4 linked regions of the Notamacropus eugenii genome follow. The protein of the gene in region 1 interacts with the protein of each later gene in a pairwise test. Links are inferred from orthologs where the notes say so. Each region holds a gene or a part of one and is shown on either strand. Other genes may lie near its edges. The genes, in order: PSMC5, THRB, NR1I3 and RORC.

The links.
Region 2: the proteins of PSMC5 (region 1) and THRB interact in a two-hybrid assay, tested with the Homo sapiens proteins (3 studies listed by BioGRID). The link is inferred for Notamacropus eugenii from reciprocal best matches to the Homo sapiens genes PSMC5 and THRB.
Region 3: the proteins of PSMC5 (region 1) and NR1I3 interact in a two-hybrid assay, tested with the Homo sapiens proteins (2 studies listed by BioGRID). The link is inferred for Notamacropus eugenii from reciprocal best matches to the Homo sapiens genes PSMC5 and NR1I3.
Region 4: the proteins of PSMC5 (region 1) and RORC interact in binary tests that used the Homo sapiens proteins (3 or more experiments, as listed by UniProt). The link is inferred for Notamacropus eugenii from reciprocal best matches to the Homo sapiens genes PSMC5 and RORC.

The regions. Positions count from the first base shown.
Region 1 is NC_092873.1:343,827,336-343,835,079, reverse strand, and holds the start of PSMC5 (26S proteasome regulatory subunit 8), read left to right. Parts: upstream 1-4,743; 5' UTR 4,744-4,878; coding exon 4,879-4,902; intron 4,903-5,293; coding exon 5,294-5,368; intron 5,369-6,176; coding exon 6,177-6,246; intron 6,247-6,812; coding exon 6,813-6,910; intron 6,911-7,115; coding exon 7,116-7,172; intron 7,173-7,262; coding exon 7,263-7,493; intron 7,494-7,676; coding exon 7,677-7,744. Other genes in the region: pre-rRNA 2'-O-ribose RNA methyltransferase FTSJ3, read right to left, coding at 638-773, 1,238-1,375, 1,477-1,557, 1,836-1,936, 2,033-2,137, 2,246-2,361, 2,468-2,662, 2,739-2,838 and 4 more.
Region 2 is NC_092874.1:30,392,439-30,400,373, forward strand, and holds the start of THRB (thyroid hormone receptor beta), read left to right. Parts: upstream 1-4,922; 5' UTR 4,923-7,935.
Region 3 is NC_092873.1:267,698,200-267,705,387, reverse strand, and holds the start of NR1I3 (nuclear receptor subfamily 1 group I member 3), read left to right. Parts: upstream 1-4,179; 5' UTR 4,180-4,266; intron 4,267-4,306; exon of another isoform or gene 4,307-4,395; intron 4,396-4,670; 5' UTR 4,671-4,702; coding exon 4,703-4,809; intron 4,810-5,435; exon of another isoform or gene 5,436-5,463; coding exon 5,464-5,594; intron 5,595-6,154; coding exon 6,155-6,327; intron 6,328-6,590; coding exon 6,591-6,730; intron 6,731-6,919; coding exon 6,920-7,065; intron 7,066-7,174; coding exon 7,175-7,188. UniProt on the Homo sapiens protein: Binds and transactivates the retinoic acid response elements that control expression of the retinoic acid receptor beta 2 and alcohol dehydrogenase 3 genes.
Region 4 is NC_092873.1:305,729,240-305,736,144, reverse strand, and holds the start of RORC (nuclear receptor ROR-gamma), read left to right. Parts: upstream 1-3,893; 5' UTR 3,894-3,961; coding exon 3,962-4,001; intron 4,002-6,631; coding exon 6,632-6,661; exon of another isoform or gene 6,662-6,675; intron 6,676-6,905. UniProt on the Homo sapiens protein: Nuclear receptor that binds DNA as a monomer to ROR response elements (RORE) containing a single core motif half-site 5'-AGGTCA-3' preceded by a short A-T-rich sequence.

The sequences.
Region 1 (7,744 bases):
TAAAGTTTTTGGCTGTCTTGTCTTACTGTTGATTCACAATGATCTTATAATCCACTAAAGCCCTCTCCTTGGATCTTTTGTGTAATCTGGTTCTACCTTATTACAGCTGAGTTTATGATGCTAAGTACAGGAGCTGGAATTTAAAAGGGAGGAATGGGGTATTAGATTTTAGATTGTGCCTCACTTTCCCAGCTTTGTGTCATTGCAGATCTCAGAAGCACACCTCTTTATCCAAGTCACTGATAAAAATGCTAAGCAGCACAGGTTCAAAGGCAGATAGATCCTTGAAGCTACTCTAGTAGAGGCCTTTGCTGAGGCCCTAATGTTCTCAAATTCAGTGAGCAAGTCTGTGTTTCACACCCTAATTCATGAAAACTTTATATTTTCCTTCCTAGCCTTCATCTTTCCAGATTTAAGAAGTACCATTCTTTCAATCTATCCTCACAGAGATTATGTACTAATTAGACACATAGTAGACTCAGCATGAGAATCCATATTTCCTAACTCCTAGTCCTGTGCTTTTTCACAATCTACAATCACAAGTCACAAAATCAACATAGTTAAATAGTGCTAGGAGAATCTGCAGTGCGTGATGCTGCATGTATACTGAACAGCCCTTGTTTACCCTCTAGCCCACCTGGTGGCCACGGATTGTCCGTAGGGAGAACATCCCAGTTTCACCATCATCAGCAATGGAAACTCCAGGCAGGTCCATTTTTAGCTCCACACGTTCCCGTTGCTTCCTCTGCTCCTGGAGTAGCTTTTTTTTCTTCCTGGATGAGTGTGGGGTCAATTCCAGTGAACTCCAGGCACACAGAAAGCTCAGCCAAGCCCCACAGGCTGCTTTTTCCAAACCCCACAACCCTCTCCCAAATCTGCGTACTCAAAAGTCAAGAACCTGGAGACAGGTTCAAATTGGAGATGTTATAAACATGATATAAGCCACAAATGGAAAACTGATGAACTACACTGGAAAACTGAACCTGTGTCTTACAATGAAGCCTCCACTAGATAACAAATTCAACTTGATGCCACAAAGTAAATCCTTCACAGCAATTTTCTGGCTTTTATATGCATTCATAAAAAGCGAAATTTTCTTTAAAAAAAAAAAAGTAGTACTTTTTGATGATGTAGTACTCCCCCCATCTACCCACTCCCATACTTTGTGTCCTGGGATTGCTCTCTTCCTTCCCTACTTATAAGGCCCTAGCTCTGTTACCAAACCCTTCTCTCTCACCTTTTCAGCTCTGCTACCTCCTGGGCTTTCATTTCTGCAAGAGCCCTATCCAAATCTTCCTCATCATCCTCAGCAGCAGCTGCTGTCTTTTTTCCTCCTTCTTCTTCCTCCTCCTCCTCCTCCTCTCCAGAACTAAGACTGGAATGGAGGTAAAACAGATAAATGAAGGCACAGTCAATGTCATTAGCCCTCTTCCAATGTTCCTCAAATTTTATGCTCTGCCTTGATCCTCAGCTTACCTGATGTCCAGTGCCTTTGCTTGATCTTTTAGCTTCTTGGCCACAAACCGACGAAGCTTTGTCCTCCAATTCAGCAGGGACCTGTTCCAAAAGCCCTGTTACTGACCACCCTACTCTATCATCATTAAATGTTTCATTGAGGGCATCAGAGCTACATTCAGATACCAAGATCACAAAATAAGTGAAAATCAATGCTTTGTCCCAAACCCGAATTTCTGGGACAAAGGTTTCCTGTTACAAGAAAGGTACCAGTTACCACTTGCTCCTCAAGTCTCCTTGGGCCTTACTCTGTCTCATACACACTCAGGCTTGCCCAAGGTCCCTCTCAGTCTCATGATTTGAGATGTTCGCCCCAGTACCTGAGCTCCTTTCGACCCAGTACTTTGATGTCCTGGCAGCACACCTTGACGTCCTCACTAGTAGCTGGATGCTGTTCCAATTCCTTATCATCTAGTATGATCTGCTCAGCAAGGAAGGAGAATCATTAGAAAGGACTAAACTTCCTAGTTGGGTCAGGGAGACTCTTCCACAAGTCTCTTTAATTCTGGACACTCACCTCACTAGCTTTGGAGAGGAAGTCAACAGGGTTGGCTGCTTGGAGAAAGTCAGTAAGGGAGACCCGATGATAGAGGGTGAGGTCCCCTTCAGCATAGCCTTCAGCCTAGGGACCAGGAAAGAAACACAGAACAGACAGGGGAGTCCCCTTTGAGGTGTTTTCAATGATTCTCAGAGATTTCAGGGTATGTGCACTTCTCTTTCACATACATACCTTGGGCTTTTTCTTGGTTACCAATTCACTCACAGTCTTGGCCTGAACTTCAACCTCTTTAAAGGCAAATTTGGGGTCAAAGAATTTACTGTCAATCTTATCAGGAGCCAGGAAACCTGGAAGAGAAGCGTATAGAGAAAAGGGAAAAGATAAGAACAGGCTTTAAAGGGGAAAAAAAAGAGGCCTTAGGAGTAGAATATACAGGGATAAAAGACAACTCACCCTGACAGACCACAAAGATTTCTGCCGATTCCTGACGGGAGGCCTGGGGCTTAGTGGCCTGGACGTGGCGAAACAACTGCTGGAAAATCCAGAGAAGGGGCTGGTAGTCACGAGAGCGAAAAACCTTAGTAATAAAGCAGCCACCACGTGCAAGAAAATCACAAGCCAGACGGAGTGCCATCAAGGTCAGGTGGGCTGAGGGGAATCAAGACTCGTCAGCTAGAGTGTTCACTATCTGTGAATAGTCCCAGCCCCAAATCTCCTTAGGTACCTTGTGAGTAGGCATCATGGACCCAGCTAGCCCCTACATTAGGGGCCCCATCATTGAGCACAACATCAACCTTCCAAGTCTTCAGCTCCTTCTTGAGAGCCTGGAAAAGGCAAACAGAAAGTCACACCTCCTTACCAAACTCTAGATCTTCCCTATGGTGTAGCCCCTTTCAAGGGCTGGATACATGTTTTCACTTAAACCAAGAAACACATGATGGACATGAAAATGGAGAATGACAAAAGTCAAGGACAACACAACTAGCCTTGTATAAACAGCACAACCACACTGGACGTTACACCATGGGTAAAACAGGGTCCCAAGTCTTCTCCCGCTTACGTACTTGCATTTCTCTCAAGTGAAAAAATCCATGATGACAAATCCCATCCTTAACACTGAACACACACACCTGGCTCCAACCCCCACTCACTCACCACCTGTGCCCACCCCAATCCCTAGTTCCCCCTGCCCCTACCAGAAGCCATTTCATGCCCCTCACAAATGCGTCCCCCACTGTGGTCTGGCCTGAGGGCTCCAGCCATTCGTCACTTGGCCCTCTCTGTTACCCTCACTCAGAACCCAAACTCCGGAATGAGTCTCCTTTATGCCACCACCAGGATCATCTTCTGTACGTATCTATATCCCTGGTGCCTGGCACAGTGCAAGTGCTTAGCAGATGCTTCTTCCTTCACGCGGCCAAAGCTCTCACTCCCATGGCAAGGACTCCCCAAAGGAGCGAGGGGCAAAGGCTGACCTGGCGGCATCTTTCGGTTGTGATGTCCTCTTGCAGCGTAACCACGTTGGGAATGGGCTTGATGGGAACCAGGTCCACTCCTAGAAAAAACACGCAGGGTGAGATCCCAGCTACGACGGGGGATGCGGGTGGGACCCCAAACTCCCCAGCCCACGCAGCGGGGGGCCACACGGTACACTCACCCACAATGAGGCTGGACACTGGCATGAACTTGGAAGCCACCTGCAGCCTGGGGAGTTAAAGAGAGCGAGGAGATGACGCTGGGAAGTTCCTCCAGCACGAAGGAGCCCGCTTCTGTCCCCTGGGTGCGTGTCTGTGGGGGCGGGGGGGGATGGTGAAGGGGGAGGAGGGGCGTTGTAACCTGTCAGTCCCGCGGCGGGGGCTGGGCGCGGGGAGGGGCAGATAAAAAGAACCAGCGCCCTAGGAAATGCCCGGCGTGAGCGCGGCGGGTGGGGGTGGACGGAAGGAAGGCCGAGGAAGGGGCCGCGGGCACGCACCATCCCCCGGGCGCCGCGCACAGGTCCAGCAGGGCCCGGGCTTTCTGCAAGAACTGGAAGCGGCGGTTCAGCTGGATCAGCTTGAACGCGGAGCGGGAACGGAAGCCTGCGGGAGGAGAGGGGCCGAGTGAGCGGGGCCGGGGGCCCGGACGACGGAGGCCCGGACGACGGAGGCCCGGACGGAGGGCCCGCGGGGTCCTCGCGACTCACCGGTCTCCTTGGCCAGGTGGTAGAACTTGTCCCGCCGGCTCTTCCCGACTTTGCCCTTCTTTCCCATGGCGCCGCGGGGAGGTGTGCCCTCACTCTGGCCGGGGAGAAGTCTCCGCCGCACGCGCGGAGGCCCACCAGAACCTCCGGCCCAACTTTCGGGGGCACGTGTAGGCTGGGGATGCGCTCCCTCCCTCTTCCGTCGCCTTCGCTCTTACGGAGATGACTCCGCCCCTTCAGCCATCTTGAGTCTGTAGAGAAAGATTTTTGAGGTGGTTTTGATAGGACGGTTTGGACTTTCCCATAGGGCGGGACGTTCACGGTGATCTAATCCAAGCCCTTTACTGCCGTGGAAGTCAGAGGCAGGAAGTGACGTCCCCAAGAGCTCCGCCCTGGATTCCCATACAAGTAAACCTAAGACCCAGCGAGCGGGTGAGGGAGCAGTAGGAGCCAATTGTCGAGGGAGTGTCTGGGAGGGGCATTTTCGGGTCATTTCCTCTCTTCGCTCTCCGAAATGGCCAGACGTGGAGTTCCGACCTTCCCAACATGGCCTCTACCAGCGATCATTCTTGAGAGTCGCGTCGCTTGACCCGGAAGTTTAATCGCGGACCGCGGCGGCTCCCGCCCTTTTGCGCTTGCGCCCAGAACTCACTTGGATGCCGGCATCCGGATCTGAGGAAGGAAGATGGCGCTGGACGGACCGGAGCAGGTAGGAAGGTTGCGGCGGGGCCCGGGCAGGGAAATTGCGGGGACAGATGGGGTTTGGAAGTCATATCTGGGCGGGGGACAAACCGAACCCAGGTTTGGATCCGATGGAGGCGGGGGCCGAGCTTCAGCTAGGGCCGGTGCTACCCCACAGGCCGACGTGCTTTGTCAGCGCCGCCCCGGCCGGGTCAGGGGCCGGGGATGCGGCCCCGAGCCCAGATCGCACGGGGCGGGGCCGCCCTCGTGCCCCGCGCGTGATTGGTGTTCGTGCGGGTGCGTGTCGCTTTCACGCCCGCGTTGATGGCAGGCTCCTGGCGGGCAGGGAGCTGTGCCAGCCTCACGGGTCTCTGTGCCGTAGGCACCCCCCAGAATGTTATCTGATAACGTTTCTTCAGCAGATGGAGTTGGAGGAGGGCAAGGCCGGGAGTGGGCTGCGGCAGTATTACCTGTCCAAGATCGAGGAACTTCAGGTGAGACGCGGGGCAAGGGACGAGGAGGGCTTGAAGGTTCCGGGAGGAATCTCTGTCAGCGTCACTCCGGGAGGCCATGGGATGGAGGGGGGAGGGAGAGCCCGGGTGTTATGGGAGTGGGGGTCAGATTGGGAGGAGGGGAAAGAAATCAGTCTCCAAGGACCCCCCCTTAGGGAGGGAGGGAAGGCATGGAAAGTTGGGCTGGCCACATAGGGAGGGGGTTGGGTTGAAAAAAAATAAGTGAGATGAAGAAGCTTGGGAACCTTCCGCGTGACAAATGCTGGGAAGACACCTGTTGCTTGGGCCTGAGCTCAAGGAAGACAGAAAACCCAGAATTCTAATTTTAGAGGTCTAAGAGTAGAAACTGGGTGGAATGAAGACGTAGTGAAGGATATTTTCACAAGCTTCGGTGGGGGCTTTAAAGTTTTTGTAGGAAAAATAAAGTATGTAGCTGTAAGAGGTAGGGTTAGCAGCTGTCTGGTCTGTGTTACAAACTCCATTGTTGTAGTGAATAACTGACCTGGGCTTTAATAAAAAAAATAAAGGTCCCCCAGAATTTTGAAGCTCTCTTTGTGAGGGCATGTAATATCTAGGCTAGAATTAGCTTCTTCTTTGGACCTTTTTGAATCATGGCAGGACTTTTTGAGGCATAGAACAGGGTGGATGTGATCTGTTTGCTAGAATCTGAAACCAGGTATAGCAGACCTTGTCCCTTTTCATAATCACATTTAGGAAATTTGGCCAGGAAATTTTTTTTTTTTTAGCTACTTGCCTATACATTATACTTGTTATCTTCTGCCCACTTCAGCTGATCGTGAATGACAAGAGCCAAAATCTACGTCGTTTGCAAGCACAAAGAAATGAGCTAAATGCAAAAGGTGGGAGCCCAGCATAATGACTGGGATTCATAGATTCTGGCTTCTGTTTTGACTTTCTGGGTGGTACCCTCCCTTGCTACATTTCAAATAGTAATACAAACTAGCATGTGATTGAGCGGTTGTGTGGTGCAGTTGATAGAGTGCCAAGCTTGGAGTCAGAAAAACTCATTTTCCTGAGTTCACATCTGGTCTCAGACACTTAGTACTGTATGACCCTGAGCAAATCACTTAACCTTGTTTGCCTCAATTTCCTTCACTGTAAGATGAGCTGGAGAAGGAAATGGCAAATAGCTCCAGTGTCTTTGCCAAGAAAACCCTAAGTGGGGTTACCACTAGTTGGCCACAACCAAAACAATTGAACAGAAGCATTATGATTGGATTAGCATTATTTACATTTCTAAATATATTGAAAACATTTAAAGATCAAAATATTTTATGCTTCACAACAGTGCTTGAATTATTTGAATTACTGGGCTGGAATGGTAATCAGGTAGTTTGTTGAGCTATTTAGCAAAACGTTGCAAAATTAAAAGAAACAAAACTGCTCATATTTGCTTCTCATACAGTGCGCCTGCTACGGGAGGAGCTGCAGCTGTTGCAGGAGCAGGGGTCCTATGTGGGGGAAGTGGTCCGAGCTATGGATAAAAAGAAAGTTTTGGTCAAGGTACAGAGTTTGACCCCAGGGACTGAAACAGGTTTATTTGCTATATTTGTTACCCCTTAAATGGACCCTTGGGAGGGGACAGTGTTGCATCTTATTGGTTGATACATATTCTTTTAATGTTCCTTGACTTTTCCTTGGTTGTATGACTTGGTACCTGGGATGGAGACTGATGCCACTTGGAAAGCTAATAAACTCCTCCCTCTAGGTACATCCTGAAGGGAAGTTTGTGGTTGATGTAGATAAGAACATCGACATCAATGATGTAAGTGTAGCAAGGAATAAAGGGGGTAAGGGGCTGGAACCTGTGTGCTGTATTGTAGTGATGTTTTCTAAAATCATCCACCATAACCAGGTGACACCCAATTGCCGTGTGGCTCTTCGAAATGACAGCTACACCCTGCACAAAATTCTGCCCAACAAAGTAGATCCATTGGTATCTTTGATGATGGTGGAAAAAGTGCCTGATTCAACCTATGAGATGATTGGTGGCCTAGACAAGCAGATCAAGGAGATCAAAGAAGTGATTGAACTGCCTGTTAAGCATCCTGAGCTCTTTGAAGCACTAGGCATTGCACAGCCCAAGGTGAGGGGTAGGATTTACTGTGGGAGCCAAATGGGAGGTTCTCATCCATGCCCTGCACCAGATACCAATGTTAAGTCACAAAGAGGTCAGAGGCAGTTGTGCCTGAAAGACATTAATTGGGATATGAGAGAATAGAGGTGGAATTTACTATGAGAGGACTGAGTTTCGCATACCCTACCCTAGGGTGTGTTGCTGTATGGACCTCCAGGAACTGGCAAAACTCTCTTGGCTCGGGCTGTGGCTCATCACAC
Region 2 (7,935 bases), on another chromosome or scaffold:
TCTATCCTTCCTTTATCCTTCTTTCCTCCCTCCTTTCTTGCCCCTCCCTTTTCTCCTTCTCTCCCCTTTTCCCTACTTCCCTTCTTTATTTCCTTCTTGCAATTCCATTCAACAAATATTTGGTAATCATCTGCTTATGTGAGAGGCACTATACTAGGTCCTGAGAATAGAAAAAGCACAATCTAAGCTCCTGACACCAAGGTGCTTACTTACTAGGAGTATGTGACATGCACACCAATGCATCAAAATATGACCATTTGAGGAGGGGAAGAATGTTAACAACGAGGATAGGGATCAAGGAAGGCTTTAGAAAGGAGGCGATGTTTGCCTGAGCCTTGAAGGAAGATTAAGGCAGTGTGAGAGGCACTATGATAGAGTGGGAGTTACTTGGGCTCCTATTTAATCCCTGAGGTGCCTGGCTCTGTGGTCAGGGGTGACTCAATTCACCAGTTTCCTCATTTGTAAATTAGGGAAGGCATCCCTGCCTCACAAAGCTTTTGTGGGGTTCTAGTGAGATAATGTGCATCAAAGTGCTTCACAGATCATAAAACATTGTAGAAATGTTGGCTCTTGTTAGAAGGATTCTGGGAGGAGGAAGGAGAATTATCCAGGAATGTCATTTTGGTGTCTGTATCCCTAGCACCTAGCACAGGGCCTCCCACACAAGAGATACTTGGTAATGTTTGCTAGATGGATGGGTGGGTGGGTGGATGTGAGGAATGGGATGCATGAGTGTCCCGCAGGTGGGATGTGAATTGAGGGAACATCTGGAGGCCCCTTCAGCTGGAACATAGAGGACTGAAAGGCAGTACAGTGAGATAAGACTGGAAAGGTCGTCAGGAGCCAGGCCATGACGGGTGGTCAAGAATGCCAGCCTGAGTCATTTTTGTTTCACAGAGCCAACAGGGAACCTCTGAAGGTTTATGAGCAGGGAACATCATTGTCCAACTATGCCATAGAAGATTTATTTTGCAGCTTTGTGGGCGATGGATTAGAGGGGAAGGACTGGAAATGGGGAAAACAATGAGGACATTCCAGGCAGGAGACAATAAAGGCCTCCTTTCCTTCCTTCCCTCTTTTCTTCTTCCCTCCCTACTCTCTCCCTCCTTGCTTGCTCCCTCCCTTCTCCCTTCCTTCCTTCCTTTCTTCCTTCCTTTTTCCCTCCCTCCTCCCTTATTCCTTCTTCCCTCTCTCTCTCTCCATTCTTGCTCCCTCCCTTTCTTTCTTCCTTCCTTCCTCCCTCCCTTCTTCCTTCCTTTTCCCCTTTTCCTTCTTTCCATCTTCCTTTTTTCCTTTTTTCTTCTTTTCTCCTTTCCTTCCTTCTTTCCTTTTTTTTCCTTTGTTTTCTTCTTTCCTTTTTTCTCTTTTCTTTCTTTTTTCTTTACTTCTTTCCTTTCTTTTTTCCTTCCCTCATTCCTTCTTTCCTCTCTTCCTCCTTTTCTTCTTTCTCTCTTTCCTTTCTTCTTTCCAAAACTACTTATTAAAGTTCCTTCTGTGTTGGAAGCCCTGTAATCAGTTTTGTATTCCCTCATTTCAAGAGTCAGTAAAACAAAATGAATTCCCAAAAGAGTGGTTTGAATTTGACACACATAAACTTTCCACCACCTTTTTTTTCTTGTCTTCTTTCTTTCCTTATATTATTAGACTAAATGCTGGTACCTTTGTTTGTTTTGACACAAAAGACTCATTAGAGGAAAATAATGTTTTTCCCTCCATCCTCAGAGAATGTTACTATTGAGTTTTCTTAGTAAAGCAGGTGTAGTTTGTGTACAGGCTTCTGCCTTTTGGATTCCTCCTAAATTCATCTGAAGAAGTAGGAGAGACCAAGGCAGAGGACCTTTTGACAACAAGTCAAGGGTTAGCATTACTTCACTGCTACTTGTCCTTCCCTGATATTTCTCCCTCCAGGGTCTGCGCAGCCATTTCCAGTGGCTCTTCCTTTTCATGGGGAGCCGTCCCTTCTCCTGGAAGCTTTCTGTTTCTGTTTCCAGTGATCTACGCTTAGGTCAAAACCCTGAGCTTCCCCCCTGCCTGGCCCTTCCTCCTATAGGTCATTCACACCCCTGCCCAGAAGGGCCAACATGAGACCCCAGAAAGAGCCCTGTCCTTGAAATCAGAAAACCAGGGTTCAAGGCCAAGCTCTGCCCCTTAGGAGCTGTGGGATCCAGACCAAGTGACTCATCCTCTCAGATGTGCTGTCTCAAGTCCACTAGGGGTAAATCAGAATCAGCCCACAGAACCAGTGTGAGAAAAGGGGTTTCTAAACTTTCAAGGAGAGACAGAGACAGAATCTAAAAGTATATATATTATATATGTGTGTATGTTCATATTTACACACACATGTAGATTTGGTCTGTTCCTAGGTTGTCACTGGTTTAAGGAATTGATTTTACCAAAGCAGATTGGTAACTGGCAACCTAGAGCCATGGAGATTTGACTGGAGGTCTGAGCAGCTGGGACTTGCCCAGCCATACAAGTCAGTACTTGAACTAAGGTCTTCCGGAGTTTAAGGCTAGCTCTTTGTGGCACACTTTTATACATACATGTATATGAGCATGTGTATAACATGCATATACATGTGTGTTCGTGTGTATTGTATCTGTATGAGTATGTGTGGGGTTTGCATGTAAATGTGTGGTTATATACATATATGATTATAGTAAGTAATGTATGTTACATAGTAAGTACATTGTGTGAAATGTATTTATGGATACATTATAGGGATATAAATAGGTTGTGCATATTATATATGTATACAGATGCAATAATTTCCTCTTCTGTAAAGTAGGGAATAATGATTACATCTACCTCACAGAATTATTGTAAGGATCAAGTAAGATAATGTACAGAAAGCACTTTGCTAATAATTTTAAAGTACCATCTATTTTTAAAAAGTCCTCATTTATTTATTTTGAACATTCTTTTCTTTTTAAACTTTGAGTGTTCCAAATTCTCCCCCTCCCCCCACCTCTTCCACACCCACTGAGAAGGTAAGCGATATGATATCAATCATACATGTGAAATCATGCAAAACATATTTCCATATTAGCCACCTTTCAAGCAAGAAAAATAAAGAAAGTGAGAAAATTATCCTGCAGCTTGCACTCAGAGTTCATCCGTTCTTTCTCTGGAGGTGGATAGCATTATTTCATCGTGAGCAATTTGGAATTGTCTTGTATTATTTTATTGATCAGAGTAGCCAAGTCTGTCACAGTTGATCATCATTACAACACTACTGTTACTGTGTACAATGATCTCCTGGTTCTTCTCACTTCACATCAGTTCATTTAGATCTTCATGTTGGGTTTTTTTTCTGACACCACCCCCCTCATCATTTCTGATGGCACAATAATACTCCATCACAATCATATACCATTCCCCCATTGATGGGTATCCCCTGAATTTCCAAGTCTTTGCTACCACAAAAAGAGATGCTATAATATTTTTATACATATAGATCCTTTTCCTTGTTCTTTGATCTCTTTGGGATACAGACCTAGAAGTTGTATTACTGGGCCAAAAGGTATGCACAGTCTTATAGCCCTTTGAGCCTAGTCCAAGTTGTTTTCCAGAGTGGTTGGGCAAGTTCACAACTCTACAAATGGTTCATTAGCATACCTATTTTTCCCGTCATCTCTTCCAGCATTTGTCATTTCTGATAGGTGTAGATGCTACCTCAGAGTTGTTTTAATTTGCATTTGTCTAATCAATAGTGATTTTAGAACAATTTTTTATGTGATTGTATATAACTTCTGAAAACTCCCCTCTCAGTGGCCATTTATCAGTTGGACTCTTTTTTTATAAATTTGACTCGGTTCCATACTCAGAATACATTTGAGAAATTATTACAGAAATTTGCTTTAAAAATTTTTGATAGTGCTTTATTGTCTATGGTATCTTTTAGCAAAATGTAATGTCCTGGATTATCTCTTTTAGTTAGGTCTATTTTTGCTTTGGTTTTGGTTGAGGACTTGATTACTATCCGCACAACGTTTTTTACTCCAGCTGAAGCATACTAGATTCTGCTCCAGACCTTTATTTAATTCTGTGTGTGACTTTCTGTTTCAAGTGTGTCTCTTATAAACAACATATTATTGAATTCTGGTTTCTAATCCATTCCACTGTATGCTTCCATTTTATGGGTGAGCTCATCCCAGACTCATTCACAGTTGTCGTTACTAACAGTCTATTTCACTCCATCCTATAATCCTCTCTTCTTCCCCCTCCCTCTCATTCTCTCCTCTCTCCCCTTTCTCCCCTCTCTCTGTCCCGTTTCTCCTCAAATTCTTATTTTGCTTCTAACAACTGCCTCCCTTAATGCACCCTCCCCTTTATCAAACCACCTCTTTCTCTTATTCCCTAATCGTCCTGTTTCCCTGTTGAGTAAGTTACATTTCTATATACAACTCAGTGTCTATGTACATATGTATATATATGTATATGCATGTATTTACATATATGTGAGGGGTGAGGGGTGTGTATACGTGTGTCTGTGTGTACACATTTTCTTCATTCTTTCAACCAGTTCTAATGAGTGAAGATCAAGCATTGCTTGCCACTACCATCCGTTTTCCCCCTCCATTGTAAAAGCTCTTCCTTGTACGCCTCTTTTATGTGAGAAAATTTTCCCCATTCTACCTCTCCTTACCCCCTTTTCCCAGTACATCCCTGTTTCTCCCTCCTTAATTTTTTTTGGAGTTCATCCCAAGTAATCAACTCACACCCATGCCCTCAGTTTATTGTAAACTCCTTTCAACTGCTCTAGGCATTACAAAGTTCTTAGGAGTTACAAGTATCATCTTTCCATATAACAATTTAAACAGTTTAACTTTATGGAGTCCCTTATGATGACTCTTTCATGTTTACCTTTTTATACTTCTCTTAAGTGTCAAATTTTCTCTTCAGTTCTGATGTTTTCATCAGTAATGCTTGAATGTCTTTTATTTCATTAAATATGTGTGTGTGTATGTATGTATTTGTCTATTTATTTTTCTCCTGAAGGATTACACTCAGTTTTTCTGGGCAGGTGATTCTTGGTAGTAACCCTATCTTCCTTATTCCAAGCCCTCCACTCCTTTAACATGAAAGCCATTAAATCTTGTATGACCCTGACTGTGACTCCACGATATTTGAATTGTTTATTTCTGACTGCTTGAAACATTTTTTCTCATTGACCTGGAAGCTCTGGAAATGGGTTTAATATTTCTGGGAGTTTTCATTTGGGAATCTTTCAGGCGATGAAAGGTGGATTCTTTCACTCTCTATTTTACCCTCTTGAAGAGAGCTCCTGAAATTGTTGCAGCAGCGGCTACTGTTGCCACTACTGTGTGTGTAGGCTCCAACACGGGACTCCACCCTAGTGACAGACTTCTCCTGCCAACCTCTTAAGTTTTCTTAGGCTGGAAAAATGTCTCACTCCGACTTTTTATTGGCTCTGCTGCACCAAAATTTGATTTCAAGTGCTATTTTTTAAAGTTGTTTGGAGGAGAATGTGGGGAGAATTCACCTCGGTGGTTGCCCCCAATCTGCCATCTTGGCTCCACTCCTTTAAAGTGCCATCTTGATGTGAGCTGTTATTATTCATTTCCTCCTGAGTATAAAGTAGGTTAGTGAATGGCAGCCCCTCAGGTCAATCTATAATCCTGTCAAAGTTGACCAGCCCCAAGTTGGTCCTTAGATACTCTAGGATCCATCTTGTATCAAGATAAAAGACTCCTCACATGGGCTCTGTTATATCACAGACTGGTTCACTACCTTACTACCTCCACTGAAAGGTGGATTCTTTCACTCTCTATTTTACCCTCTTGAAGAGAGCTCCTGAAATTGTTGCAGCAGCGGCTACTGTTGCCAGTACCAATGAGAAACCATAACCAGGTGTGTTCCTTGTGAGTGTACACTACATCTCTTTAGAAAATGGATAGCCACTGCTTTCTCCATGTGACTGTAAGCTTTGCTCTACTCTATAGTAATAGGGTTCCCTTAGCATTCTGTTCAACCATAATGCAAGTATCTCCCTTTGGTCAGAGTAGAATTGGCTGAGAAAGTGAAAAGAGATGAATCAAATCCATTCCTGCACAGACATTGCCATGTGCCAAAGGACTCCACAGAGCAGCTATTACCCTACATCTCAATCTTCCTTCCAATGCCACTTTCCCAAACCCTTCCCCTTCCATGTTGGATGATGAGCAATCTACTTATTACTACCTCTTCTGGAGGGAATCCAGAGCCCCTCATTCACTCTGACCCTCAGACCCACTCCTACCCTCCCAAGGGTTGTAGGCCTGGCTTTGCTGCTTACTCTGAGCAGAGAGTCACCAGTTACACTCCTTCCAGTAAGGTGGAAAAATCACTTTGCCTTACCATCTTCCCTGCCCCTGGCTTCCAAAGAACTCCCATTTGTCTCCTGATTTGAGGTGAGCTCTTTGAAATCAGGGACCGTCTTACTTTTCTATTTGTATCTCCAGTACATAGCTGTATTTCACACATAGTAAGTGCACCAGGCCTTACCATATAGGCATCTAGATGGCCCAGTGGATAGGACACTGAGTCTGGAATCAGGAAGACATGAGTTCAAATCCAGCCTCAGACATTTACTAGCTGTGAGACCCTTCACAATCACTTAACTGCCTTTTGCTTCAATTTCCTCATCTGTAAAATGGGGATAATAACAGCACCTCCCTCCCAGGGGTGTTGTGAGAATCGAATGAGGTAATGATTGTAAAGTGCTTCACACAGTACCTGTCACAGAGTAAGCACCATATAAGTGTCAACTCATTATTATTACCCAGATTACACTCTGGCCCTTCAGTACTTGCCATTTGCCCTGAAAAGACACCCTCCAGGCCCCTACACACCACCATCTGACTTGGCAACAAACCCTCAGGACTCCTGGCCTTTCGTATCTATCTTGTTGATACCTGCTAATGAGCACCAGACCTTGTGTCTGAACTCTCCTTGACATGTTGTGTCCCACAATTAGAAGGTGATCTCCTTGAGAACAAAGATTGTCTCACTTTTCTGTATGAATCCCCAATGCTTAGCATAGGAAAAATGCTTTATAAATGCCTTTTTGCTCATTTATTCATTATTTTATCCTTAAATCTATAAACACCATCACAAGTAGCTGCCAGGAAATGTCCCCTTTCCAGAGCCATGGGGCCCTTGGCTCCTGGCCCTGTGATGTCCCCTTCTCTTCTAAGGGACCCCCCAGGAGTCCAGAAGGATCTGCAGGAATCCACAGTTGGCCATCCCTCCCATCAGCATGGACAGGGTGGGATAGGGCCATGGCTCATTCCAGGCTCGGAACGTCCTCCAGACAGACAGAGAGAAGGGGCTGGAACGACAAGGGAAGAGGCCACAGTCGCGGGCCTTGCTCCAGAACTACCCTTGGCCAGTTCTCTTTTTTAGAAGGCAGAGAAAACACACTTGACAGCAGGCACTTTGTGCTGCCCCAACAGGTTAATCCTGACCTTTTCAATGCACATTTTTACCAGCCATTAACAGCATGCTATTTTCTGCTCAGCTGTCTCCTAAAAAGCTTTAATTCATCACATTAGACAGTGGGCACCTACTCTTTCTCCTATCCATGTGGTCCTGCCCAGCTTGCCCAGCTCTTGTCATTTTATCAGATTTATTCTTTTTCTCTTTGACAGTTGGGCAGCACTGAGGGAATGAAAGTTTAAATGAGTTTTAATATAGCCAGATAAATAGCAACTGGAGTATGTGTGTTGGACTTCGAGTTGGGAGGATCTGAGTTCAAATCCAGCCTGAACCACTTGCTGATTGTGTGACTCTGGGCAAATGACTTTCGTCTCTCTCAGCCTCAGTTTCCTCATCTGTGAAGTGGAGGCAATAATAGCACCCACCTTCCCAGGGTTGTAAGGATTAAATGAAATACCCTAGGTATTTCCTTTCTAGAAAGGAAAGGGTGATATT
Region 3 (7,188 bases), about 76 Mb from region 1:
TGAACAAGATGGAGGACAAAGTCAATTCATTGCCATTAGCAACAAGGTCCTTTAGAGACTAAATGACCTTCTGAAAAAAATCCTAGTCCTAATTCAATAACTGATTATTAATATGAGAGAGAAATAATCATTTCTTTTATATCTTACGTGTATATATACTGTCAGTCAATAAACATCTGTTAAGTACCTACTATGTGCCAGGCACCATGCTAAGCACTAGGGATACAAAGGCAAAAGACAGCCCCTGCCCTCAAGGAGCTTCTGTTCTAATGTGAAAGATCGCAAAGAAATGGAAGCTGAAGAGGTATGGATGGCGGCGGGTCAGAGTGGGAAAGAGGCATAGCAAGGAGGCGTCAATGCCATGTCTGGCACATAGTAGGCACATTTTACTAAGTGCTTGTTAACAATAATAGTTGGCGTTTATATAGCACTTCAGGGTTTGCAAAGGTAAAAACCTGTGTTATCTCAGGTGCTAAAATCTCCAAAGGGGCGTAAGGGCAAGGGAAATAAAGAGATGGCTGGCCTGGGCACCCTACAGTAAGAGGAAGGGGCTCCAAGGACAGAAGGTACCAAGAAGGTAGGAAGTGGAGTTTGGGGTTGCAGTGGTCTTCCAGGCTGAAGAGGTCCCTGACATGTATGGAGAACCCCAGAGGAGCCCAGCCTGGTTAGAAATGATCACAAGATGACAGATTTAAAGTCAGAAGGGACTTTGGAGGTCACTGGATTCCTCTCCAAGTGCTCCCTCTGCCAAGTCCAGCACTTTTTCCATTTCCTTTATTACATGCTACTTCTTGATTGGATTGGACTGGATCTGGGGAATTCAGCAGTAACACTTTCAGTGATCCCAAGCTGTTCCCAAAACCCATCTTCCAGACATCCATATTCTTCCAGCCATGCTATGTGACTGTGAATCATGAAACACCATGCTCACAGGCACTTCAAAATAGCAGATGACCTAAAGAAACAGAAAAGCACAGAGTGTGGGTACAAGTAGGCTGTGCCATATTGCCAAAAATGGCCTGCCCTTGGTGATGTCTTTTATGTCACTTCTCAAGGGCACCCATGACGCAGAAAAGGAGATGTGCCCGTCACTCATTTAGAGCCAGGGAAAACAGATGGACAGCCAGAGTACTGCATTCATTTCCATAAAGTATTCAAGGGACCAGAAGAAAGTCTCCAGTGGGCAACTCTTCAATGGAGGAATTCATGGAAGACACAGACAAGAGTTACATGGGATGAGGAAGCAGGAAGGTGTTGCTATCTCCACTATGTCAAGAGGGATCTTTCCCACTCCCCACCCCCCCACTCTTGGAATCCCTTGTTTCTTTTGAGACTGAGCTCAGGCACATCTACTACAAGGAAGTCTTTCTGGATTCCCCCTCCAAACACCCACACACATCCAGCTTCTAGAGCCCATCCTCCCTAAATTAACTTGTGTTTCCTTTGTATATATTCTCTACTTGTTTATTGTTGCATGTTTTCTTCTCTCCCCACCCCCAATCCCCATAAAATGTAAGATTCTTGAGGGCAGGACCCCTTGACTCTGTCTTCTCTTGTCTTCAGCTTCTTGTGCAGTGCCAGGCACATACTAAACACTTAATAAGAGATTATTGATTGACTTACAGTACTAGTATCCACATCACTTCAGTAGAGATACTTGAAACATCAAAAATTATACAGTATAGGTACAAAATGTAGACTAGGTAAATAAGGCACACATAAATGGAGAATATGCCCAACACCTCTTAATGATGAGGTACATATAACAGATGTTCAATAAATATTTGTTGTAATGAATAATTGAATGTAACATTTCTTTCGAAGTTCAAGCCTTAGTTTATCTCTTAGTCCACAGTGAACTTTCCTGTCCCTTAAATTTCAGAACTAAACACTTAGTCAAGTGTTGTATATATGTATATATGATGGGCTGCTAAGTGGTACAGTGGATAGAACCTGGAGCCTCGAGGTCATGTGTGGCCTTCCAGGTCCTTGACTACGGCCTTTTGACTGAGTCCTAGTTTTACAGAACAAATCTTTTAAGGAGATTTGTTCTGTGATTCAGAACAAAGGGCCACACTTGAGGATCTAGAAGTCACAGGTTCTCTACCCCTGGTCTAGAGTCAGGAAGACCTACCTGAGCTCTAAATCTGACCTTAGATACTTAACTAGCTGTGCCACCCTGGGCAAGTTGCTAATTTCTGTCTGCTTCAGTTTTCCTCACCTGTAAAATGGGGATAATAAGAGCATCTACCTCCCAGGGTTGTTGTGAGGATCAAATAAGATGAAAATTGTAATGCACCTGGTACATAGTAAGAACCATATAAATACTAACTATTACTATTAGCTGTATCTTGAAGTTTATTATTTATTGTCTCGGGTGTAATCCGGTTTTGAGCATATATGTCTCATCTCTATATTCTGAATTCCTTAAGGATGGAGACCAAATCTCAGTCACATAATATTAGTGGCAGAAGGAGGTTTAGAGATCCTCCAGTTGAAGTGATGAAGAGTGGAGTGATTCCCCAAAATAGTTGAGAATAAAGTGTTGTCCTTGGAGTTGGGAGACGTAGGAAGAAGGCAGAGCATCCTAATGATGTGGCCTTGTGGGCTTACTTAAGAAAAATGAAAAAAAAGCACAATCCTACAGAGAAATGCTGAGAAAGACCTATTCGCAGAGGTAGGTACATCCCTGTAAAGTACAGGTATGTCACTTACCAATGTTACCAGTGAAGACTGGACATTGTCTCCACTCAGGCTTACTCTGATGGGTCATCATTCATGGAGATGCCCCTGTATTCTCCAGCTCTGGTGGGTCTTACTAAGCTGGAAAAGCTTTGAGAGCATGGCTTCCAGCATCTGACTATTGTCCAAGGACCAACCTAGCTGCGTTCATCACCAAATAATATGGGTGTTTTGTTTTGTTTTGTTTTTAGCCACAACAGTTCATTAAAGCAACTAGAAATGCGTGGAAGGGCTGTGATCTGTGATATGAAGGGTAAGCTGAAGAATTATACTGAAGACTATAGTTGCTTGAATATTTCTGTTTTCTTTTAAAATACTTAATGATATTCTTTTGTTTGTCTTTTTAAAAAAAGTTTTTAATCCCCATCGCTTCCCCCTATATTGGGGGCAGCTAGGTGTCACAGTGCATAGAGTGCTGAGCCTGGAGTCAGGAAGACTAATCTTTCTGAGTTCAAATCTGACCTCAGATAATTATTAGCTGTGTGACCCTGGACAAGTCACTTAACACTGTTTGCCTCCATTTTCTCGTTTGTAAAATGAACTGAAGAAGGAAATGGCAAACCACTGCAGTATCTTCACCAAGAAAACTCCAAATGGGGTCACAGAGAGTCCAACATGAATGAAAGGATTGAACAACACTTCCCAATGACTCTCTACCTTAGGGGTAGGGAATTTGTGGCCTCAAGGTCCTCTAGATCCTCAAGTGTGACCATTTGACTAAATCTAAACTTCCCCAAATGCCCTTATTAAAAGGATTTGTTCTGTAAAACTTGGACTCAGTTGGACTCAGACTTAGAAGGCCACATGTGGCCTTGAAGCTCCAGGTTCACCACCCCTGCTCTACCTCACCATATGACCCTTCCTTGTAACAAAATAAGTTCAGACAAGCAAAACATATCAACACATTGACCACCTCTGAAAACATATGCCTCATTCCACACCAATGGTCCACTACTTCCTGTGGAGAACTGTGTAAGGGAGAGGAGGAAGAGAGTTGACCCTGGCTGAATCTTAAAATTCATTATCAGAAATCATCGGTTCCTTTATCTTGGGGCTCAGAGAACAAAGCAATAACATGTTAATACCAGAGTAGTCTCTATCCTCCTACACCTACTCTATTAATATACATAGTTATTAATGTGTCAGATTCCTACACTTTGCCCTGTCTATCCAGTTTTTCCTTCTAACAGGAGGAATTCCCTTTAATAAAGCCAGATTATTTCATCCTGTCACAAATTGGAAATCTACACTGGACATTCTTAAAGTTTGTCACAGATACTTTCACCCTGACAACAGCCAGCAGACCTGACCTGTGAGAGGTGTGATGGGGCAGAAACCACTGTTAGAGAGTCCCTAGGTCTCATTCACACTAAGCTCCTCCTCCATGCTACCAATGCCAACTTCTTGGGCATGCTGGGATAACCACCCATCCTGGACTCCATTCTAGGTCCAAAGTCTACCTTAAGCCCAGGCACTGAGAACTATTGGAAGCTCCACAACACCGGGCCCCATTGCCCATCTCAGGTACTGAGGTCCACTATCCTTGATACTAGGAATTGAGTCCAAGCTGGGGCAAGAACCAAGTATAGAGTTGGGGGTGAGGGTTGGGGAGGGAGGTTGATGACTCCCACGTGGAAGCTGAGGGCCATACAGGTAAGTGCAACAAGAATGATGGTTTGGGTGGGCTGAGCAGGGTAAAGGATACAACAGGAATTTGAGAAAGGGAAGGAAAGTGCAGATAACTGCAGACCATGGGAAGTAGAATATCTGAGAAACCAAGGTCCCCTGGCAACTGACACAAAAGGGGGCCAAAGCTACAGAAGGCTAAGGCCAGAGACAACAGCTTGAGTATGAGTGCTGTAGGAGGGAGAAACTGGGAAGACTCAAAGGTTGACAAGGACAAAATGCCCACCCTTTCTCATTCTCAGGGGACTGGGGCCCATCTGAAGTCCTAAGATCAATGGCAAACAGAGAGGATGAACTACGGAGCTGCGCTGTATGCGGGGACAGGGCCACTGGCTACCACTTCCATGCCCTGACCTGTGAGGGCTGCAAAGGGTTCTTCAGGTGAGGACACCTACAGGAATGAACCTTCATACAGTTGATCACTCTGCCCCTACGCCTGAAGAGAACATAGGCTTGACCATATCATATGGGGTCATGGGGCTCTATTTCTGCAGCCCATGACCCCAAAGCCAGCCCTCACAGTCCTGCCAACCTCAACATTATACAAACAAGTAGAAGGCAAAGACAAAACCCTGAACTTTTGTCTCAGATTTACTGCCAACTTATCTACTCCTAGCAGTAAACGTTTACCATGTGCCAAACAACACTATATTACTAAACTTGATATGAAAAGGACTAAAGTCGTTATTGTATAGAGTATCATGACTTGATTATATAGTCGTATAGAAAACCTTTAGAAAAAATTGGGATCAAGGTCCCTAGGTTCTAGAGGTCCCTAGACCTCTCTCAAGTGGGCTTGGATATAATTTGTTCCTAATTGGCTATGACAATAAGCCACTTTCTGCAAAGCACCAAATGACCTGAGTTTTTCCTTTCCTGACTTGGTCTCCTTATATGCTTCAGATTGGCCCATGCCATCCACTCCACACACTTTCTCCTAAAGACATTGCTCAGACCAGGCCACACAAACTTTAATTCTTCTTTGGACCTTTCCTACATCTTATTAGTCCTCAACCACCTCTCTGCGTCTCCCAGGCGGACTGTCAAGAAGGGGATGGGACTCACCTGTCCTTTTGAACAATGCTGTGAGGTCAGCAAAAACCAGCGGCGCCATTGCCCAGCATGTAGGCTACAGAAATGCTTTGATGCAGGCATGAGGAAGGACAGTGAGTCAGCCCCAACCCATCCCCTGAGAAGGGTGGTATAGTGGACTTGCTAGGCTTGGGTTCAGATTCTGCCACTACTCCATACTGGTCATGTAACTCCAAGGGCCATCTTACTTTCCCTGACCCAACCTTCATTTCCTTTCTCTAGGTATTAAGACCCTGAGGCCATGAATTGTCCTTCTCCCTTGCACCTCCATACCTGTGGGGTCCCACCCTGTCACATCACCTTTACACCTATAGAACAGACTTTCTCCTTTTACCAGAGCTTGTATGAGAGGCCTTGGTATCACAGACCTTCCCAACACTCTCCCGCTCTGAGCTGTTCCCTAGTGCAGCAACCTACACATTCTATGAAAATAGACTAGAGACCCCTGCAAGCTGATCTTACCCTACAGAACCCTGAAAACCTTTGGGGCTCCTGAAACCATTGAGGAAAACCTTGGGCACCTTTCTAGCCTTGGCAGAGCTCGGTTTGGGGCCTGGAGGAGCTCCTGAGGCCAGGCCTGATATAGTCAGACTCCACCTCTCTCAGCACCTCTTCTGTCTCTTCTGGAGCACAGTGATCCTGTCAGCAGAAGTCCTGGCACAGAGGCGGGCAAAACAGGCCCAAAAGAAGGCAGAACAGGAACCTGTGCAGCTGAGTCAGAAGCAGGAGGCATTAGTCCAGGTGTTACTGGGGGCTCATGCCCGCCATGTGGGCACCATATTATTTGACCAGTTTGTGCAGTTCCGGGTGAGTACCTGCTGGGGTCAAGATTCAAAGAGCTCCAGAAGAGGAGGAGGGAGGGAGACTAGAACCAAAACACTAGGGAAGGCTGACCCATGGAAGAGACTTGAAGGGGTGCCAACTCTGAGAGACATAATGGTTATGTCTGTTGTGTTACTTAATGGTTGAAGAATGACCATTAGCCCCTTTAGCCAAGGCCCCCTCCCTGGGAGAGGTGAAAGCATCAAGAAGATGCTTGAGTCAAGGCCTCTGACTGTCCATTCTTCTAGCCCCCAGCCCATTTGTTCATCCACAACGAGCCTGCAGGCTCCCTGTCACCTGTCCTGCCATTACTCATACACCTGGCAGACATCAGCACCTTCATGGTACAGCAAGTGATCAAGTTCACCAAGGATCTGCCCCATTTCCGGTCAGTGAGCCCCACTACCTCTGAGTAGTCTGGGAAAGGACCCTTTCCTACACCCTCTAATGTCTCCATGGCAAATGCTCCTGCTCCCAGCCTTGTTGTTCTCCATCTTCACTAGGGCCTTTGACTACTTTGCTTTTTAATAGTCTCAGCAATCCAGCTCAGCTCCTCTGTTGTTCTCCTACCCTGCAGGTCTCTGCCTATGGAAGATCAGATATCCTTACTGAAGGGTGCAGCCCTGGAAATCTGTCATATCGAGCTCAACACCACTTTCTGCCCCCACAGCCAAACTTTCCTGTGTGGGCCTCTCCGCTATACCTACCAGGATGCGGTTCATGGTGAGGGGGCACAGCTCCCATGTACTCCCCCGATAGAAGGTGGCAGGGAGGGCTTGGGAAGCAGCTCAGCAAGCTGTGGTCTTGCCCTTGAACCCGCTGTGTCCTTCAGTGGGGTTCCAGGAG
Region 4 (6,905 bases), about 38 Mb from region 1:
TGAGATTCCCCTGCCTGATAAGGGGCTCTGCACGTGGGGGATTGAAATGACTGGCTGATATCTATCTGCCTCCTTGCATAAGAGTGCGTGGGGAGGCGGGGGTGGGGGCTTAAAAACCACTGCCCAGTTCTGGAGGGATTGATTCTCCTGGAAAATAGGCTGAGATTGCAGCCGGAAGAAAGGAATGAGTTCCTGGAGTAGAAGAGACAAGGGAGATTAGGGGATCTCCTTCTCCATGGAGGGGAACTCCAACATGTTAGGCTCCAGCTTGGTAGGAAAGAGATTGGCCAAGGTATAGGAGGAAACACCTAACTTACCCTCTCCTCTGGGCCCGGTTCCTCCCTTTCTTCCTCCACCTACATACTGGGCAGAAGTGGGGCAGAATGGGCATACCCACTCTGCCAGGACCAATTGGTCTCCCTTCTACTCCCGTTTATAGTGTCCATACCATACCAACCGGTGGGAGGAGAGGGAGAGAGGGCTTTGCCAATGAGAAGTAGATTTGCTGGTGTGAGACACCACAGGGCCTAGGGCTTGATCTCCAGAATAAGACCTTATCATGCCCTCCATTTCCTGAAAGAGAGGTGATAGACTCAAGATGCAGAATGAGACCTGCATATCTGGACATGATCATTTGTTCTACTTGACCATGCACATTACACATTTTACTTGACTTTGAATGTTACAAAGTTTTTTCTTTTTTTTTTTTTAATCAGTGTAAAGGAGGGAGAATAAATGCTTGTTAATTTTAAAAAAATAGAATTAATTGTCTAGACTTGTATACTATTCCTCATCTGCTTCTCCCCCACTCATGTATCCACCTTCTCCCACTGGTGAGTTTTTCCCAGAACTTGCATTTTAAGAAAGCGGACAGATCAGTCATCTTTCATTCTCTAGACTTTACTATCACCATCACCTCCTCCAACTCTTCTCTGTTCACTTAATAAATGCCTGTTGACTGGGGGAGAAGAATTGGGCAAAAGAGGGAAAAGGAGATAGATTCAGAGAAGTAGGAGAAAAGGCAAAGTTTAGTGCCAGGTAAATTCCTCTACACTGGAGGTCAGGACCTTTCCTTTCACAAACACCACGTGCAAGACACCCACCAGAGTTGGAGCTTCTGATTACTGCTCTTAGGCCCAGCCTGGCTTGCCAAGTTATATAAAAGGCAAGTTGCCAGAGAAGGGTGCTCTCCCAATCATTAGCTGTGCCCCACCCCTCTCCATCCTGTCTGTTTGCCCCTAAGGAGAGGAGTCGATCAGGGTTGGACCAATCAAGGCCGAGGCCCCTTCTCTTCTATGTCAAACCTGTTAGTTTGTAACAGATCCACACCCTGACTATCCTTAGCAAAGGATAAAAAAGATAAAAACTAAGAGAGTGAACCTGGAACATTGTGAGTGCTGAATTCTTACTCATATTTTAAAGCAATATGTAGCAGAAAAAGGTCTGAATTCAAATTCTAGTTGTGTGACTTTGGGCCAGCCATCCATCTGTAAAATGGGGGTGCTGTTACCTGTCCTACTTACAGGTTGTAATGAAGAAGGTAAAGCCTACTTATTACATAACTTTGAATTATTATTTTGGTCCAGACCTTTTTGATTTCATCAATGTGGGTAAAAGTCTAGTATGGCAAATCCCTCCGGTGGCCAACAATAGCTAACATTTATAGAGCATTTTAAGATTTATAAAACACTTTCCATTACATAATCTCATATATGAGGCAGTTGATATTGATCCCCATTTTCTAGGTGAGGAAACTGAGGCACACAGAGTTTAAATGACCTCCCTGGAACTATACCACTATCAAGTGCCTGAAGTAGGTTTTGAACTCGTGTTTTCTGACTCCCAGGCTAGACTCTATCCATTATGCCAAGCTGTCTCCAACAACAAACAGAGATCCACAACCCAATCCTAACTTACAGTCTTGCAGAATCACCTAGGGTGCTAAGAGGTGGAATACCCTCCCTGCCCATGATCATGTTGGTTATAAGAATCAGGGGCAGAGCTTGAGCCCAGGTCTTCCTGACTCCAAGGCCAGCCCTCTATCCACTGTGACACATTGCTTCTCAATCCCCATTCCAGTCACAATTTTGTTATTATCTCCATTCTTTCATCTCCTTCAATAGGGTTCATATAGAAACAATTTGGGGTCAAGTTACTATCCAACTCTGAAGTTTAATGTTCTATATTCTATTACACAGGTGGGTAAAATCATTATTATTTCATGATTCTCATCTTTATGTTTTCATGATCTAGCTACATTAGGTTACTTACAGGACCCTCCATCTCTCACCTCCCCTCTGAGCACTATCTGTTCCCTATGCTTGGAGTGTTCTGCCCCTGCCCTGCCCCTCACCCCCCACCTCTGTCTCTAGGTTTCCTCAACTTCCTACAAGTCCCAACTCAAAGCCTACCTTCTACAAGAGGCCTTTCCCAGCTTTGGCATTTACCTAGGATTTTCAGATGTGCCATATTCTGCTCCTGGAATTTCCTTCTAAGTTCTAAGCCAGTAAGGCTGATTAATATCTCATCCAAACTTCATACCTCCCATCTCGTGTTCAACATGGGCACTTCCTGAACATTTGTTGAATTAAATTGAATCCTTAAAGGCAAGTATTAGAAAGAGCACTGCACTTGAAATCAGGGGATACCTGGGTTCCAATTCCATCTCTTACACTTCCTGTGTTACCATGGGCAAGTGACAACCATTCTGAGCCTCAGAAATTAGTGGACTCTCCAGGTTGAGGAGGGAGAAACAATTAAGAAAATAGAAATGTAAAGTAAACCTTAAAAGACTATATTAATGTCAACTATTCGAGTTATAAATACACAGACAATTCTGATACCAAAAGTGTCTGCTCTAGACAAAATGATTCTCTTCCGTCTGACTCCCCACTGGAAAGTTCGTCTTCATAGCTAAACTTTACTTCTTCTCTTTGGTGCCAGAAGCAGAAATCTTGGCAGAGAAATGGGAGTAGAATGGAGGGGTCCAGGAGGCTAAAGATCGAAGGACAGCTGCTGCTTACTTCTTCCATGCAGGCCTCCACGTGGTGGGAGGTGGGGGAAATTGGGATGGAAGCGGGGCGGGGGAGCCGGGGGAGCCAGAGTCACGAGGCCCTAGCATGGCCAGGTCTTCAGCTGCTGTTTACCAGCTGAAGAGAGAGGAGGGGTGCCCAGGAGCCCTCCCCCCTCCTGTCTGGCTCCCTGCCAACCCCAGCCTGTTGGGTAACATCAGGAGCCAGGCCCAGCTAATCAAACCCTGGGACTGAGACTGGGACAGGCGGCCACCAGGACAGGTATTTGTTCCTGTCTCCGGAGAAGGGGTGAAGAGTAAGGGGTGGGAGGTTGGAGAGGAAGGGTCTCTCTAAGTCCTGGGATCTGCTGTGTGGGCCTCATTTCTTTCGTGCCACCCCCAGTCCCATCTTCCTCCAAACTTTATGTTTCAACTTTCTCCAGATCATTTGCAGAGCTCAGAACTATTCTGTGTTAGTGATACAGTGATATGTGCAGTCTATCTGAAAAGCCTTCAAAGGATGGGCAATCCCACCTGGTCTAGGACATGCAGGGCCAGCCTGAAGGGTATAGGTAGTACAGGGAGAGGGCTTGGAGGGACCGAGGTCAGGTAGATGGGATGGAGGAGAGGCCCCAGTTGTACTGCTAGATCTCCTGTATCTCTGTATCCTCCCTATCTTTTCCCATCCTCCATCATCTGTCTCTTTCCTTATCTCCCCTTATCTCTGTCCTCCTTCCCTCTAACATGTATCTTCTCTGTCTTTCCATTTTCCCCAGTCTCTTTCCTCTCCCTTCCTCCCACTTGCCTATAGTGCTAGGATGCTCTGACAGCCACTCCTCTCCCCTGCCTACTGCCTAGCCAGGTGCTCCCTCCCTCCTTCCCTCCCTCTTTTTCTCCCCTGGGCTCTGATCCCCAACCGGGACCAAGGACTTCCAACAAGTGAGCTGCCCCATGGACAGGGCCCCACCAAGTCACCACAGAGCTACAAGGGGTAAGACAGGGAGGGTGGGAAAGGCACAGGAAAGAAGAAGGGAAAGAGATAGGAGGACAGGTAAAGAGAAGAGAGACAGGAGGTAGAAAGAGAGGAGAAAAGGTGAAGAGGGAAAGACAGGGAAAGGGAAGAAGCAATGAGGAGAAAAGAAGAAACAGGAGGAGAGAGACAGAGAGAGAAACAAAGAGAGAAAGACAGAGAGAGGGGAGGGGAAAAACAGAAGAAGAAGAGATAGGGAGAGGGAGAGATTAGAGAAATAGGAGAGAAAAGTAAAGGGAGAGACAAGAGAAGAGAAGTAATGAGAAAAAATAGAAAGGAGAAGAAAGAGAAAAAGAAGAGAAGAGACAGGAAATAGAGAGCTAGAAGAAAGAGAGATGGAAAAAGAGGAGTGATGAGACAGAGTTAGAAAAGACAAGAAGACACCACCAGAAGAAAGGGGAAGACAGGAGAAGGAGATAGAAAAGAGTGAGACAGGGAATTGGGAAAGACGGGAGAGAAGAGAAAAGGAGAGAGAAGAGGGAGAATGTCACAGTGAAGAGAGAGAAAGAAACAGGGCAGGGGGTGGGAATCTTGGAGTTTATGTTCAGCCAGTATGCGGTGGGTCTCTCAAAGTGTGTGCTTCTACACATAAATGATTATTAGGGTCCTACCCACTCCCCAGCTCCACGTCCCTGTGTCTGAGTCCCTCTTGAGGTCTCCCAGCTTTCCTGGTGTTTTCCACTTGGCAGTGCCCAAGCTGAGGGAGATTTATCCTGGCTGTAGGGGATAGCAGGGGCATGGGGGAATTGGGAAGGGCATGCCCCACCCCCTATCCTGGAGTGCGATCACTTTTTGATGTCAGTTCAAGTACCAACCTGGTAAATTTTTAATTCTGAGGGGATAGGGTATTGTACTGACCATGATACAATTGTGAGGTAATTTTCTAGGGACAGAGGCACCAGGGCACAAATGGGCATACTGAGGCTTTTGACATCTTTTCATGTGACGGACACTTTTGACAACCTGGTGAAGTCAGAGAACCCCTCCTCAGAATAAGATTTTTAACCATACAAAATAAAATAGATAAGACTGAAGGAAACCAATTCTAAAAACAAATTCATGGATTCCCCAAGTTAAAAACTCCTGAATCTAATGCCTCAGATGTAGCAGAAAGAGCATTGGTCTTGGAGTTAAAACATCCACTGTTGTTATATATTCACTGTTTGACCCTGGGCAAGGAAAAAGCCTGCTGGGCCTCCATTTCTTCTTGGGTCACGCAGGAGACAAGGGTGCTGGGCCCAGAGTCAGGAAGGCCTGGGTTCAAATCTAGAGTCTGACACTTATTAGCTATGTGACCCTGGACAAATCATTTAACCACTGTGTGCCTCAGTTTCCTCATCTGCCACATTGGGGATAATAATAGCACCTACCTTCTGGTGTGGTTGTGAGGTTAAAATTAGATAACGTCTGCAAAACACTTTGCAAACCTTAAAGCAGAGCCGTGCAAATGCTACTATTATTAGAATCATGAGGCAAAAATGAGAGCATTGGACTATTCAATTCAATAAGCATTATTTATAAAGTGCTTTCTTTGTGTCTGGCCCTAGGTTAGGGACTGCAAGATCTCTAAAATCCTTTCTAGCTTTAAATCTGTGAACCTATGACTGCTGGTCGGTCTAAACCCTCCGATTAGCTAAGTGGTCAGTGTCACTCTCTCTATTTGCTCTCTGGTGGGCATTACCTAGAATCAGACCTTCCCAGGACCTCAGGTGCTCAGGTTAGCACAGATGTCAGTGACCAGGCCAGTTATAAGAGCGCGTGTGTGTGTGTGTGTGTGTGTGTGTGTGTGTGTGTGTGTGTGTGTGTGTGTGTGTGTGTGTGTGTGTGGTGGATCTGGGATGGGGTGGGAGGGAAACTTTTCCCTATGCTGGCAAAGATGGAGAGAGGGAAGGATGTCTTTTTCCATCACCAGCTCCCAGGACATCCAGGATACAAGCTGAACCCCAAGAAAACTGAGTATTGGTGTACCACATCAGGGAGGAAGCAAGAAAATGCTAAGGCTGGGGCTAAAACAGATTAGGTCCAAGGAAATAGGAGTACTCTCCCACTCCCTCCTCTCCTCCAGAAGTTGTCTCTCCAACTGACAATCTCGAGGTTTGCCTGATGGGATACAGGGAGGGAAACAGGGAGGTATAGGGCAGACTTGGAGTTGGGGGAGTCAGACAGCTGGTCTTCTCCAACTTGGAGGAGCTAGAAGAACAGGGAGAATAAGGTCTGTTTCGCTGAAGTGAGTAGGAAGCCAAGAGGAGCTCCCAAAGTCTTGGCAGGCCTGGGGGGTGTCTAAGGGGAATTGCCAGTAACTCTTACTTCTTAACATATCTCCCCAATCCGGAGCTGACCAAGGCCCCTTGGCCTACCCCTTCCCCTATTATGCACTTTATTCTACCTAGACCCCAAACTAAAATTGTGGTGGTATGTGGGCTTACAGAGGCTAATAAAGTTCAACAACACGTTTGGCTAAGGGGATGGGGATGGCCAATGTGTTGGGGGTTGGGGTGTATTTGTGACCAGTGAGAGGAAGGGGACCCTCATCTCTTGGCCCTACTACCTTCAATGGGTCCAAAGTCCTCATAATTCTCCTTTTCTTACAGGGCCTGAAACTGCAAAGAAGACCCATACCTGTGAGTGCATATATGTATGTGGGGGGAGACAGCTGGGAGATGTGGATTGAGACAGGGTCTGGTAGTGGGAAGGGGTTCCTAGACTGAGAATTTTAGAGAAATGGACAACTTTGAAAAATTAAGGTGAGGGAGGGCAAAGATGGTATAGGAGAGAGATCAGAAGAGCTAAAATGACCAGAAGAGTGAGGCAAATGGGACTAGTTGGGGAAGGAAAGAATGAAGAGAAATGTTCATTGAAGATGGA